2 linked regions of the Notamacropus eugenii genome follow. The protein of the gene in region 1 purifies or fractionates together with the protein of each later gene. This does not show direct contact. Links are inferred from orthologs where the notes say so. Each region holds a gene or a part of one and is shown on either strand. Other genes may lie near its edges.

The links.
Region 2: the proteins of CCDC68 (region 1) and CEP170 purify together in Homo sapiens (co-immunoprecipitation; 3 studies listed by BioGRID and IntAct, counting the BioPlex papers as one, with this or other methods). This does not show direct contact. The link is inferred for Notamacropus eugenii from reciprocal best matches to the Homo sapiens genes CCDC68 and CEP170.

Annotation. Positions count from the first base shown.
Region 1 is NC_092875.1:436,187,301-436,194,933, forward strand, and holds the start of CCDC68 (coiled-coil domain-containing protein 68), read left to right. Parts: upstream 1-4,379; 5' UTR 4,380-4,545; intron 4,546-7,633. UniProt on the Homo sapiens protein: Centriolar protein required for centriole subdistal appendage assembly and microtubule anchoring in interphase cells. Together with CCDC120, cooperate with subdistal appendage components ODF2, NIN and CEP170 for hierarchical subdistal appendage assembly.
Region 2 is NC_092873.1:404,072,261-404,080,225, reverse strand, and holds the start of CEP170 (centrosomal protein of 170 kDa), read left to right. Parts: upstream 1-4,793; 5' UTR 4,794-5,527; intron 5,528-6,079; coding exon of another isoform or gene 6,080-6,125; exon of another isoform or gene 6,126-6,353; intron 6,354-7,965. Other genes in the region: SDCCAG8 (serologically defined colon cancer antigen 8), read right to left, coding at 1,701-1,821.

The sequences.
Region 1 (7,633 bases):
TCTGAATCCAGTGATCAGATATTCATCAGGATGACTGGAGATGACCCAGGATGAGGCAACTGGAGTTAAGTGACTTGCCCAAGGTCACACAGCTAGTGAGTGTCAAGTGTCTGAGGTGAGATTTGAACTCTGTCCTCCTGACTCCTGCACTGGTGCTCTATCCACTGCACCACCTAGTTGCCCCGCCAAAGGAATCTATAACACATAGAAAGGTCAAGAACCTCTAGACCAAAGGGATGGTACAGTTTCAAATTAATCACCCTTGTCGAAATGAGGTTGTATCCAAAATTACTATGTAATAAGGAAATAATTGTAAAAAATGCAGTAAATCACCACACACTTAACCTTTCTGGTGAACTGACTTGTCCCTTCCCTGGGGCAGGTACCAAGATGCCTGTGGGGTGAGACACAGACATATCACAATTACTCTTACCTCTATCCACCTTCCTATCAGGCTAGTACACGACCTACATAAAGGAAGACTCTCTGGGTTACTACGCAATAGCAGTTTGTGTGCCAAAGGATTATTTGGAGAATTTCTTTTTTTTTTTAATTTGAAGATGAAATCAGTTTTGTACAAAAGGCAATAGGCTCATGATTATTCTTGAATTCACCAGTAATAATACTTGGCCTTCTGTCTCCTTAAATACTAATGAAATCTCTGCAAGTCAATGCACTGATTTACCAGTTTACTATTCTCCCCTCCTAATTTAAAGGATGCCCAGTCATACTCTGCTTCCTGCTTGCCTTGGGAGGACTGGTAGCTGAACTCTGAGGATATCAAAGCAGCAATCCCCTGGTTTCAGACCCCTTCTTCCTTCCGGCCTTGAGATTTAAGTCTCACTCTCTCAGGGTGGTGGAGAGGGTGTTCTTTTCCCCCACTGGGCAGAAGGTCATGAACTCATGGGTCCCTGGGCAAGTCTATGTCTTGCATGGCACCACTTCATGTTTGTGTCTTTTTTTCCCTTGGCACCCAGCAGTGGACTTCTGGTCTCAGATAGTGACCAAATGTTGGAAGGAAAAGAATCACCTCTAGGAACAGGAATAATCAAAACCCTTTTGGGTGCTGATTTGCCAGTACTGGGGGTGTGTGTGCATGTGCGTGTGTTGAATTATAAAATAGATAATAAGCAGCTCTCACAAAGGATCTGTTTGCAAATGACCAAAAAAGTAGCCTCTCTTTTAGGTATTAGGTGGTGCAATAGAAAGGTCCCTGGACCTGGAGTCAGGAAGACCTGAGCTCAAATTCTGCTGGGCAAGTCATTTAACCTCTGTTTGCCTCAGTTTTCTTATCTGTAAAATGGGGAGAATAATAACACCTACCTCCCAAGGTTGTTGTTAGAATCAAATGAGATAATAGTTACAAAGTACTTAACACAATGGCTTGCACTATATGTTTTTGTTGAGTTATTTCAGTTGTGTCTGACTTGTGTGACCCCATTTAGGGTTTTCTTGGCAAAGATATTGGAGTGGTTTGTCATTTCCTTCTCCAGCTCATTTTACAAATGAGGAACTGAGGAAAACAGGGTTACAGGGTTAGGTGACTCCCCCAAGATCACACAGCTAGTGTCTGAGGCTGCATTTGAACTCATCTCCTCCTGGCTCTAGGACTGGGCTCTATCCACTTTAATACCTGGCTACTCATAAGCACTATGTAAGTGGTCACTATCATCATTACTATTATTGCTTGGTGTTCTCTTTGTGAATAAAACACCTATCCCCAACTTGATTTATATTTTAATTCTCCCTCCGCCCCCATTTTCTCCAGGGAGGACCCCTTACACTAGAGCCCCAAACAGAAATGTTTCTCAGGAATGGGAGATGGTATGATACTGAAGAACTAAGAGCCTAGCCCTCCTGTTGAGGAAGCTGGTAATCACAGAGCATTAAACCCAGGGGAGGCAAAGGACATGGATTGGCGTAGGTGACCTCAGCCCAGCAGTTTCTAGGAAGCCACTATGTCAGACTAGAAAGGAAGTCCCTTGAGAGCGTTTCTCCAGTTTTGAAAAATCTTTGAATTTGTCTAGCACAGTGCTAGACACAAAATAGGTGCCAAATAAATGCTTATTGATTAATGGATTGCAACTGACTTCAGCTGCCCTCTGCTCCTATAACTCCACTGTTTTCCAACAGTTTCTAAGTTAATGGATATGTCTTTATGTTCCCCATACAGATTTTTTTTCAGTAGGATGTAAATAGTATTTTGATGGCATTGTTTGATTTAATCACATGTATATGCACAGAGAAAGATCTTAATGGGTATTCTCCATTCTTGTTCCTAGAGCATCAGAGAAAAAAATACTAAAACTGCACACATATTATAATACATGTAACAAGGGCCAAATCTGGAGTCCATATGGTTTTGTTTGTTTGTTCTAAGGATATTTCCCGATTCGAGGAATATCATAGAATCTTAGAGAAGGAAAGGGTCTCAGAGGCCATTTGGTTTAACCTGTCTATACCAGAACAAAAATCCTTTCAATTAAGTCCAAACATACCTGACAAATGGTCACCTTGTCTTTGTTTGAAGAGTCTTGGTTAGATGAAGGAGGAGAAAAACTCAAGCTAAAAAGGAGATAATTAGGAGATTTGGAGGTTGTGGGAACTGTGAAGAAGACCAGAAGCTGGAGAGGAACATTCTGGTAAAGGCGAAAGAGAAGTACTTAAGCTAAAAGAGCTTTTCTAGAGGAAGAGGAAGATATGGGCAGAAGACCCCAAGGCAAATGAGGACCGGATAAAACAGATCAGAGGAAAATACAGGCCAAGGAGTAAGAAGCCAGAGCCTGAGCCCATTTGATTTATGGACCAGGAAATAAATGGAATACATCTCCACCTGGGAACATGTTTTTCAGTCCCTTTTAATAGAAAGTAATTCAATTCATGATACTACACTTTCAATCTTCTGGGCATTGAAAATACAACATTAAGAGGAAGGAGGTGGAGTTAGCACCATCTCCAGAAATCAGAGAAAATAGGCATCATAGAGTTGGAAGGGACCTGAAGCTGGAGTTCTTTAAAGTATTTTGTTGGGGATAATTGTTGTTTCTGTATCTACCTAATAGTAAAACAAACAAAAAAATGTACTTTAAAATATTAACTTTATTTATATGTTTATTATGTATAAAATATGTTTATATAAAATATATATTTGTAAGGAATAGCAAGGCTTGCAGTCCTGTGCAATCATCCTTTTTATCATACTATGTATGTTATGGAAATAAATTAAAAATAAAATAATTTTTTTAAAAGTAAGAAAAATTCTGTAATTCAGGCTTTCGTTATTCTGATTAGTCTCCCTTAAACTTCCTTCTTCCCCATATTATTTAAATAAATTAGCTGCTGCCCTACATCTGAAGAATTAGGTAATAGTATAAATTTAGACATGTAATCTTTTCTCTTTCAGCTATTTTGTGTCTGGCAGTACACACAAAGAAAGCCATGCTCTTCAGTGAAAAAAATGTGAGCTCAGTCCAGTGTAACACAACTACTGTTAGTGACATCTCAGAAAAGGGGAATTCTCTAGGGCTATGTCCTATCTTCCTGTGTTTACCTGTCAAATACAGAGGAAACTGAGTTGTGGTTTCCCTCCCACAGACAGGAAGGAGCAGAACTGTCCCAAAAAGCTAAGATCAAGAGCTAGGTCAAAGTACAGAAAAAGGAAATCTAAGTTTATAAGACAGTTTTGTTTTTTTTAAAAAAAGCAAAAATCTGGACAAGGAAGTTAGAATGATAAAAGATCTGCCCTATCAGGTTCCTTTGGAATACCACATGCTTGCTGAAGAGCATGATTTATCTTTCTACAATCTGCACAACTACTTCATAATTACGATTGCTATTAAAGAGGAATACATAACTACCGTGAAACTTTCTTTAAAAAGTCAATTTTTATTTATGTTACTGGTCCCTGAATGTATGTTATCATCTAATGGCATTCCAAACAACTTCTGTGTTAACAGAACGATCATTTTGGCTGTGCCTCTAACCTTGCCTGACCTTGAAATGGGCTTCGGTTACTTTCTCTGGAAAAAAAAAAAGTAGAAGGGTCTGGATTCCTGGATTCTGTGAATCGTACCAGCCCTTCCTGCTCTCCTATTCGGTGGGGAAGTTGGAATTAAGCACAATAAATTTCCTTATGTTTGAATATGGATTCGTATTCTTAAAGGAGGGTGGGAAGGTGACAGAACCTTCAAGTGTCGGGCCGTCCTTAGTGGGTGGCTGGAGTTTTTAGCTGAGATGAGGAGGGAAAGCCCAGAATACACAAGGGCTCGGGAGGAGAGGAAGTGCTAGGGAGAGAGCCCAGGCAGGTCCCAGGGGACGCCGCTCCAAGGAGCCCACGCCTGGGCGGACGCCGGACTCTGTCCCCGGCCGCACCCCCTCCAGGGCGGAGCATGAACCCAGTAGGCGCCCAGCGGGATGCCCCTCCCCTGGGCAGCTGAGACTCCAAAGCTCCCGGGAAGGGTCGGAGCGGGAGGAGGACCCCGGACTGTGCTCGCTTGGAGCCCCCTGACCGGGGCATTCCCTGCCCCCAGCTACCGGGAGCCCGAGGTAGCCTGGGCCAGGAGGGAGGGTGGGGCTACATCTTTCTGGGTTCCGCCAGGTGCCTGGGGGCGGGGACCCCCCCAGCGCAGTTTCCCCTCCTGGCCCCGCGGGCCTCGGTGGAGCCGCTTCCCTAGACTGGGTCGCGGGGGGTGGTCAGTTTCCTCTGTGGTCAGTTTCCTCTCCATCCTTAACCTCGCGCTGTTCTGGGACTCTCAGGGCAGGAGGAAGAGCGCACAGGATCCCCAAAGGGGTCCTCGAATCGCACCCCTGCCCCTCCCTCGCAGTGCGACCCTGCACAAGATGCTTTATAGCGCTGGGCTTCTCTTTGCTCATCTGTAAAATGAGTAAGGGGTATTGGCGATGGACCTCTGAGGGCCCTTGCACCTCAGGTCTGGGTGATCTTATGAACTTTCCTGCCCTGGGTTGGGAGAGGTTGATTTTTCCCAACTTGTTGCTTGATTGTGGTGTTGTGTGACTTGGTCTCACGGATGTTTCATTTTCTTTGTGATTTATTGATGACTTATATAGCTCTAATCCATACTGAGAGTATGCTCATGTGGTATGCTCATCATTAGTTCCTCTAAATTAGAACTTTCTACATACCCATAGTAGGAACGTAGAGTTTCACGGATGGGGGAGCATTTAATCTAAGTAGGAATTTTCTCTGCAGAATTCCGAAGACAACTTCTACTTTAGAGTTTCCACCGAAGGGGAATTCACCGTCGTCTTTTACATCCCAGTTCACTGTGGGGTAACTGTAGCAAGCCCTTTCTTACCTGGAGCTTACATTGTCTCTCTGCAAAGTCTATGCATTATGACTGCAGAGGTTTTGCCTCTCTATCATCCATCCCCTATTCTCCACGGTTTGTTTGTGATGGGAATTGGGGTGCCGGTTGGGCATTTGGGGGCTCTCAGTGTTTTTAGGAAGAAAAATGAATGAATGGTTCGGTATGTATTAGCTCCTCAGCCTTCAGAGAGAGGTAAGAGAAGCAAAAGGGCGGTTTGTCATTTAATACGTGCCGTTTCTGCTCCAGTAGAAGTATCATAAGGTGATTTGCAAAGAAGGATCATTTTTCCTGGAAAGAGTAGAAGAGACACAGCAGGCCAGTGGAGAGTGCTTTAGGTATGACAGTGAAATTAATTTTGCTTCTTCTATCCCCTTTGGTGGGAAAAAAAACTCAGTAGACAAGAAGATGCAAGCCAGCATCAGCTTCAATATAATATGCCACTGAGCTGTAAGGATTTTTTAAAAATTAAGTCAGTGTAAGAAAAATGTGTCTTGCTTGCTTTGACGTCCTTTCAATTCCTTATTGTTTAAATCTAAGCTACAAGAGGAGTGACGAAATAGAAAAGGAAATCATTCATTAGCTAGAGGAGGGAAGGGGACCACAGTGATCTCTCTTGTTTTGCTTCTGTCTAATGAGATTAAAAATTCACCTTTGTGTAAGTCACAGTTTCCAGAAATCTGAGCTCTTCTGGTGTCTCGGGTGCCTTGGCATTGGCAGACACAACTGGTGATGCTGTCATTTGGCTGCTTTTTTTTTCTGTACAGGATTTGAGAACAAATTTTGTTTTAATAGCTACTGAAGAAAAGCCACTACCCTTAGGAATAGGCAGAAATAGGAAGTGCCCTGGTTTCCCTCCTGTAAAGGGACATTTATCAAGGAAAGAAGTAAAGCATTATGTTAATAACATTCTAATTCTAGGCTGGGGGTGGGAGGGTATTAACATCAAAGTATCAATGACCTCCTGATCAAAATGTAAACACTCTCTTTTTAAAATGCAGAGCCTACTTGGGTTTTATTTATGATTACGAATCATAGTCATAGAATGTTAGATTTGAAAGGGACCTTAAAGATTTCTAAGGCCCAAACCACAGATGTGGGAACTGAAGCCCACAGAGGCTGATATTCGCCTAATTGATTAACAGTGGTTGATTGGCCTACAGTGCACTCTACACTATCTTCTTAAGATCGTGGAATGTTAGGAATGAAATCCAGGGGTTCTTAACCTTTTTTGATGTCACAGACTGCCTTTGGCAGTGTCCTGAAGCCTATTGACCCTTTCTCAGAGGAATATTTTTAAATGCATAAAGTAAAATACATAAAATTACAAACAAAACTAATTGTATTAAAATAAGCCCATGAACCCCCTGAAATCAATCTGGGAACCCTAACTTTAGAACTCTTGATTGCATCCAACCCTTTCATTTTTCATATAAGGGAATTGAGATTCTGAGAGATATCCGTTGCCCAATTAATTAAGAGCTAAGTTACCCAGTTAATCAGATGGCTTATACTATGATTAGCGGTGTGCTAAGGTTTTAAAATATTTAGCCAAGCTAGCCACTTATCCTGTTTTATTTCTAATGTTATTTTTCACTAAAATCATTAGTTTCCATAAGTTAATCATTTCTATAAAGCCATAATAGTAATATAGAGTTTCATGAATGAGAGTTATTTAATCTTTGCAGAATTCTGACACCCAACTTCTACCTGAGAATTTCCACTGAAGGTGAATTCACCATCTCCTTTTACTGTTCATTCCACTGTGGGGTAACATTGATTATTAGTAAGCCTTTCCTTACCTGGAGTCTAATTCTGTCTCTCTGCAAAGTCTACCCATTATTCTCACTTCTGCCCTGAGGGATCTAAAAAGAACAAATATAATCCTTCTTCTGTATGACTGAGGTGGTTTGTGGGAGGGCTTTGTTTGAGACAGATACTCGAGGGACTGGCTGATTACGTGAGAGGGGTGTGCTCTGTTGTATGCGGGGTATTGGTGACAGTGGTATTCCGAAAGTTGAGCCATGCTTGGGAGAGCCTGTACTCAGATGTGCACTACCAGGGCCAGTCACTGTGCTTAAGACCTATAAAAATTAAAATGCTTATGAAAACATTTTTGACCATATGAGTGTTACTTAGGGTGATATAAAATTCTTTTATCTGAAAAAAAAGTGACGCATTCACCAAAGGATCCATAATTCAGAAGTGACTAGGGCCTATAGAAGTAGCCTTAGTTGGGCCTCGTCACTATTCTTAATAACTGGTATCTTACATTTCACTTTAAAGTTTTCAAAATGCCTTACACAAAT
Region 2 (7,965 bases), on another chromosome or scaffold:
CTCTTGGTAAGTAGAAAAAAATTAAGGGAAAGATAGACACTGAATGTTTCCCATTAAGCACGTATTAGGACCAATCAAAAGTCTAAGTAAGAAGAGGTTTTGAGGGAATCATTGTTAATTAAAAACAAAACACAAGACTACATTAGTACATTTTAACTGATCATATATTTATAACAATGATAAAATTCTCAAGCATGGATATTCAAAACACAAGGAACTACACCGAAGTAACTCCACAATATTTTGAAACATTTATTCAAGAATACACATTTTTACTTCAAGCATCTTTATTCCTCTCTAAAGCGGAAGTTTTATGTGATTTCAGTATAATTTTAAATTCTTCCTTTATAAGAACAATATAGGAGCTTCTAAATAAAATTCAGCAAATAATGTTGGACAAAATATGGAATGCTCTGAAAGATCTAGAAATCTTCCTTTGTTCCACTTCTAGATCTACTGATAAACTGAGAACAAATCATTTAACTTATTTCTACACTTTAGTTTTGCTATTTGCAAAAAGAAGAAAAACATTTTTTGACCATATACCTAATAATGAAATAACTATGACTTTGAAAGTCAATATAGTCTAGAAATACTAAGTAAAGTATAATGATTATTAAATGAGTTCTTACTACATAGTGAATGGAGCAATGGAGTTGGAGGTGTTTAGGTTAAGGAGGAAGTGACACCTTTATTGCTTCAGCTGATTTTGACTGTTCTTTAATTGTCCCAATCAGTACATTTTCTTGGGGTCCTTCCTAGAGGGAACTGACAGAAGGAGCTTGTCAGTGGGAGAGGGAGCCAGTCCTACCAGATATGCAAGGGAGGAAACCCTCAAAGAGCTAGAACTAGAACGTTTGGGCTTTATTTTCATAAAAACAAAACAAAAAGATTACTTTTATTAAACTGTTTCCTGCTTTCAAAGTGAACAGGTCTCATTTCACTCATCAGGTTCAGAAGGGTATTCATTAAATAAAGATGACCAATGTTTAAATTCCTGCCATTTCAGTAGACACAACGTTGGCTGTTTCCTACTTGAGATCCCATCAAATGTGATCATTGATTAAAACCCGAAAGTCATCAGGTGACTCACCTAGGATGACAGCAAACAGGGCTACCCAGTTCCTACAGAAACCTGAAAAGTTGGTGGTTGGGCTCGGAGCGACATCGCCCCAGGCGTTATCTGGTTCCCGGGGATAACGATCCTGGGGCAAGGATCTTTTCCAAGAGAATCTGGTTTCAATCAATAAAGGGTGCTTTGCTAACGGTTCTTGATTAATTTTAACCCAACAGCGCCTATGAAAGCCGACTTTAGAAGACTCCAGGAAGCAGGATGCGTTAAAGAGAACATCAAGAAATAATGGGGTGAGGGGTATAGGGGACAAGGCCTGGGGAACGATCATGAGAGGAAGGAGAAGCGGTGCTGGAGGGATGAGGAGGACACCCCGACAAGGAGGAGAGAAAGGCCATGTCTCTGAAGCTAAGCAACGCCCCGGATCCCAACCCTACTCCGACCCTGGGCACATCAAGCCTTCCCGGGCATCAGGCTGCCCGCGTGGCGGGGAGGAACTCACACAAGTGTTGGAAAACACACAAGTCACGAGCTACCGGAGGAAAGATCCAGGAGCGCCGGCCCAGACCGTGGAAAGAAGCCCGGGGAAGCCCGGGGCTGGGGCTGCGGTAAACGACCCGTAACTCACCCCTGAGACTCCGCTGATAGTGCCCCAGAGCCTCCTCCAGGGCAGAGTCCCCCAGAGCCTCCTCCAGGGTAGGGTCCCTCAGGGGCTCTGCCGGGGCAGGATCCCCCAAGGCCTTCGCCATGCAGTGACCCCGGCCCGTAGAAGCTCCTACAGAACCTCCTCGGTGGGCAACGGGCCCACAGCCTCCTAGCTTCCAGACCTCGCTGTCAGAGGGGCGCCTGAATGGCAGGACCTGGCTGGCGGGAGGGGGCGGGCGCTGTCCACCCGCGGGCCCCCATGATGGATAGTGGAAGTTGTAGTCCGTCAGGTTCTCGTATTGCCGCTTTCTAGACCCTGAAGAAGTCTACGGAACACTACAGTTCCCAGGAAGCACCGCGCACAGGGAAGAGACAGTTTGGCCTCCAAGCTCAGTTGCCTGGAGACAGCTTGGAGGCTCCACCCTCCCCTTCCTTCAGACTCCAAATTTCCCCCTCCCCCATTCTCGTTTCTTAGGCAGTCTGGAACACCCAACTACCAAAAAAATGAGCTTCTGAAGATCTTTGCCCTACCATTGTTGGTTGTTCTTCATCTTGGAAGAGGACCAAATGACAACACCGTGTTAAAGTGAAATTTCAGGGTGTCTGCTGTGGCTGATCAGACTGATATGAGCTCAGAATGCTCTACCACAGGATGGGCACAGGTAGTCCCCGTGAATATTTGGGCTGGATACTCCAAATTTGTGCATTCCATGTTTACTTTGTGCTGTCTCAATTCTGCTTTGTTCATAGAGCACAGCTCCCTTTCTGATATGGGCACACCATGCTGAGCAGTCCTGTGCCCGTGTCTCCCATGTTGCACAGGTAAATACAAAGTTCTTAAGAAAGACCTTTAGAGTGTCCTTGTATTGCTTCTTCTGGCCACCATGTGATCGCCTGTCCCATATGAGCTCTCCATAAAATAGTCTTTTTAGCAAGCATACATTTTGCATTGGAACAACGTGGCCAGGCCATCCCAGCTGTGCTCTCTGAAGCATCGTTTGAATAGTTGGCAGTTCAGCCCAAGCAAGGACTTCAGTGTCTGGTACCTTATCCTGCCAGGTGATCCTCAGAATTGTCCTAAGACAGTTCAAATGTAAGCTATTCAGTTTCCTGGCATGGCACTGGTAGACTGTCCATGTTTCACAAGCATATAACAATGAGGTCAGCACAATGGCTCTGTAGACCTTCAGTTTGGTAGTCAGTCTAATACCTCTTCTCTCCCAAACTTTTCTTCAGAGCCTCCCAAACGCTGAGCTAGCTCTGGCAATGTGTGCATCAACCTCATTGTCACTGTGTAAATCCCTGGAAAGTACACTACCAAGTTAAGTGAACTTATCCACAGCATTCAAAACTTCTCCATTTGTTGTAACCAATGGCTCCACACATGGATGGTGTGGTGGTGGCTGATGGAGCACCTCTGTTTTCTTGGTGTCAATTATTAGGCCAGAAGTAGCACAGGCAGCAGAGAATTGATCCATACTTTGTTACATCTCAGCTTCAGAGGCTGCATTGAGTGCACAGTCATCTGCAAACAGAAAATCATGCACCAACACTCCCTCCACTTTGGTCTTGGCTTGTAACCTTTTCAAATCGAAGAACTTACCATCAGTATGACAGTTGACCTTGATGCTGCGTTCATCCTCATTGAAAGCATTTGTCATCATGATTGGAAACATCATACTAAAAAAGCATGGGAGCAAGCACAGAGCTCTGTTTCACTCCATTGATGACTGTGAAGGCACGAGAGTATTGTCCATTATCCAGAACCTAGGCAAACATACCATCATGAAACTGACATACAATATTGATGAATTTTGACATAATTCTCCATAAGCCCTCACAACTAACAGTGTCAAAGGTCTTGGCCAGATCTACAGACATTGTGTACAGACCTCTGTTCTGCTCCTGGCATTTCTCCTGGAGTTGTCGGGCAGAAAACACCATATCAACTGTTCCCCAGCCCTTTCTGAAGCCACACTGGCTCTCAGGTAGACCATCTCCCAGGTAAAGGATCAACCTATTAAGAAGGACTCTAGCAAGAATTTTGCCAGCAATGACTAAGAGAAAGACTCCCCTGTGATTGTCACAGGACAATCTATTTCCTTTACCTTTATAGAGATGGACAATGGAGGCATCCTTGAACTCCTGGGGATAACCTCCTCTTGCCATATAACTTGGAAAATTTCAGTTAGATATTGTATGAGCAATGGTTTCCTTACCTTGTAAATGTCAGCTGGAATAGAATCAGCATCAGATGCTTTGCCACATGAAAGGATCCTAATGGCCCTCAAAACTTCTTTTTCAATTGGAAGTTCAGCTAAGGAGAGATTGATTCCAACCTGAGGAAAATAAATGGTCAATGGCCTCAGCATTGATTGATGATGGTCTGTTGAGAATACTATGGAAGTGTTAAGCCCATCTCTCTCGGATCATGTCCTTATTATTAATCAATGTGGCTCCATCAGCACTGAGTACTTGTGAAGCACCACAGGTTTTTGGTCCATAAATAGGTTTTAGGGAATCAAAAGCACTTTGGATTGTTACCATCAGAATAAAGCTGAATTTCTTCTGCCTTCTTACTGAGCCAGGAATCCTACATCTCTCTAAGCTTTGCTTTTGATGGAATTAAATGCTGCCTTCTTAGAGGTGGATGAATTATCCTGCTGGTAAATCCTGTGGAGTTCTTGTTTTTCATTTACCAGCTTCTGAATTTCCCCATCATTTCCATCACACCAGCGTTTGTGAGCAAATGCAGGGATGTACACCAAGCCTCTGAAAGTTTCCCACTCCTTTTCGGCTCCAGTATTGCCAGTTGTGTATAGGCTCAATTTTCCCTCCAAGTCAGCAGCAAACTGTTCATGCTCAGAGAAGAGCTCTAATTTGTTGACATTAATTCTTCTGGTAGTTATTTTGCCTTGGGGCGGGGGGGGGGGGCGGCGCTTTTGATGAATTCGAATATTTAGTTTGGAAAGGATAAGTCTATGACCAGTCCAGCAACTCTGCATCACATATTGCCTTTGTCACTCTCCCATCTTGTCTGTCTCTTCTCCTTACAATTACATAGTCTATTAGATGCTAATGTTTGCTGTAAGGGAGAATCCATGAAGTTTTATTGTGTTTAGGTAGAGGGAAGACAGTGTTGGTTTTGATCCATGGACTCCTACAATTAAGCGAATGAAACGTTATGACTCCTTTTTTACGGTTCCATCTTCGATTACTACTACCAGGAGTAGCCTTGGCTGGAGAAAAAAACTCAATTTCAACAGTGAAAGATGTGTAGTTCCTGGAGACTACAAATCCTAGCATGCCAAGGGAACTGGCCAGTTGTCGTGGAGTTGGCGCACTGCCCCCTGGGATCTGTAGTCCTTGTTGGTTGCAGTCCAAGCTAATGACAGTAGTTTCTTCATTGTTTCTGCCGGTCCTAGGGGCACGCTTGCGCAGTGGGCTGCTGCGAAATCGTGTGGGTGGGACAACGACCCTCCAGGCAACTCCTTTTCATTGTCTGCCTTTGGCGCCTGCGCAGTAAGAGAGAGCTGGGGGAGGAGGAGGGGGCAGGGCTCCCTCCCCGGCCTCTCCTGACGCGCCTGCGCAGTGGGCGGCCGCTCTCTGCCGTTACCGCTATGTGTGGGGCGTGTGTGGAATAACGTTATTGCCGAGCACGGTGAAGAGAACGGGGAGTCTAGGGGCGACGGCAGCGACGACGACTACGACGACTACGGCGACGGGTTGGCGGGGGGACGGCGTGCGAGAGACTCACGGGACGCGACGCGCCCCGCCTCCCCCGTCCGGTCCCTCTCGCTATGGTGAGGGGTAAGTGATGCGCTCTGCTCAGCCGCCTGGCTCAGTGATGCCGTCGCCGCCGCCTCCCCTTCTCCAGATCCTCTTTCTAGGAGAACCCCTGGTGTGCGGCCGGGCTTTCGGGGTGGGGGGAGTGCAGCTGGGAGAGGAAAAGGGGGGGGGGTGCTGCTTTCCGGATGCTCCTCGCGCCGCGCCCCCCCCCCCCCCGCCCCGGGGGATTCGGCGGCCCCGCCTCCCGGCCCCCCCCTTCCCTCTATTCCCTCCGGGCTCCGCTGGGCTTTGCTACCCAGGCGGCCTCGGCGGCTGCCGGCTGACTCCTCCCCCTGGAAATGTGCATTTATTCATTTTGTGTTCCGTGGCTTTGTGCCGCTCCTCCCCGCGCCGAGCGGAGGGCGCGAGGGGACGGATGGGCGGGCGGGAAAGAGCCGCTAGCGGCGGGGACACTCGGGAAGGGGACCAGATCGTGCGTGTGTGTGTGTTGGGTGGGGTGCGTCTGTGCGTGTGTGTGCGTGTGTGGCGGTGTCAGGTCCCGCCTGGCCGCGGTCGCAGCCCCGCCGTCCTCACCCTTCCCTCCCCGGAGGGAGGAGGCGGCCTTCGTCGTCCCCCTCATTGTCCCCGCGATGCCCCGGCGGGTGTCGGCTTTGGGTCGGGCTCCTTCCGTATGGTGCCCGGTGTGGGTCTGGAGGCTGTGGGGCTCCTGTCCGCGTTACATAAGCCTCCTCCTACGTGGGTCTCGTCTTTATTCCGGATTTCTTTTGTGTGTTTTTCCACAGCCTGTATGTAAGCCTCTGGAGGGCAGGGCCCGAGTGTCTGAGAATCTGGAGGTGTTGTAGCGCTCCGTGGAGCGAGGCTCCCCCAGGCCGGCGCCGGAGCGCGCGTGGGGAGCCCGCGTGGGGAGCCCGCGAGGGGCTTTCTTTTGTTTTCCTGCCGTGTGGATCCTGTACTGGTGTGCCTTATTTCGGAAGAGTTCTTTTGTGTTATTCTTCAATCAGCCGTGCCCAAGGCGTGCACTCGATGTTTACGTGTTTGTTTTAAGGAAACATCACCGGGTGATGGATAATATGTAGATGAAGTTTTTCATGATTCAGTTCCTAAATAGTGTTGTTTATAACTGAATACTGGTCAGACCGCAAATAGAGGGAAGGGAGGAAAGGACAAAGCAGGATGAGGAGGAAATCAAGAGAAAGGGGGAAATGCTGCTTTGAATTCTCTATCTAGGGTTGTCACTCAATTATGAAAATGCCAAGTGGTTGAAGAACGTGTTTCAGCCATTATGTGAAAGCCGGGTTTGCAGTGATTGCTTTCCAACTTTGAAGATAATTGCCATGTACCAGCATAATAGACTCATGTTAGGAAGGCACCTTATCATGTACACAGTCTCTCTGTTTTGTAGATGAGGAAGTGAACTCAGGTGTATACATTGTGTTTTGTCTAAGATTTTTTGAGAAATTAGTTGCAGTCTCCAGAGTAGCATTTAGGAATGCCTTTTCCTGAGTAGTTTTTTTTTTTTAACCCCTTTACCATAGTACTGTCTTTGCAGAGGTTGAACTGAATTTTTTATTTAGTACAGAGTGCATTTTTTTTGCAGTACTGTACATATTCTTTGGGTTTTCTTTCACAATCAGAATAATTGATAATGATTTTACACGTAAATTTTTAAAAATAAGAAGCCAAAGTTCTAGACAAATGAAATTAGGGAAATGAAACTTATGCGTAGGCATCATTAACTTGTAGAAAAATGGGTTCTAGTCCTAAAATGGACTTTTATCTGAAGATAATTTGTTATATATGCTCAATTCCACTATAAGTGATCTATCTGATCTTGACCCTCTATTACTTCTCCACCCCCAGATCTATGATGTTTTTGGTGTAGGGAACTCCAGTTAGAGGAAATTCCCTCTACCAGTGCATATTAGCAATTGTTCTGTAACTAAATCTTAGAGCATTGTTTGAGGCACTGAGAGAGTAAAAATTCTTTTCTTAGGTCACTCCTTGCTTCTCTATGATAATATATAATGTTTGCAATTGTAGCAGCCATATTGAAACCATAAGAATCAAAAATAAATTCAACAAGGTAAATAATAGTTCTTTTGTGTTCCCTGGCTAAATAATAAAAATAACTAGCACTTACATAGAGCTTTAAGGTTTGCAAAGTGCTTTACATAAGTTTTTCAATTCTCTCAGCAGTTCTATAACATTATTAATATAAGGTAACCGAGACTGAGGTTTCAGGGACTTACTCAGAATCGGACAGGTATAAGCTTCTCAGGTTGGGAGGAGAAAGAACAGTCCTGAGAGTGAGAAGCAGATTGGGAAATCAAATGAGCATAGCAAGGAGTTCTTCATGAACATCAGAGCCAGGCGCTCACCAATCAGAAGAGAGGAATGATGAATCATTCAAGTTCTGTACTTAGTATTTTGTTGAAAAATGAATACTAAACTTAGTAGGG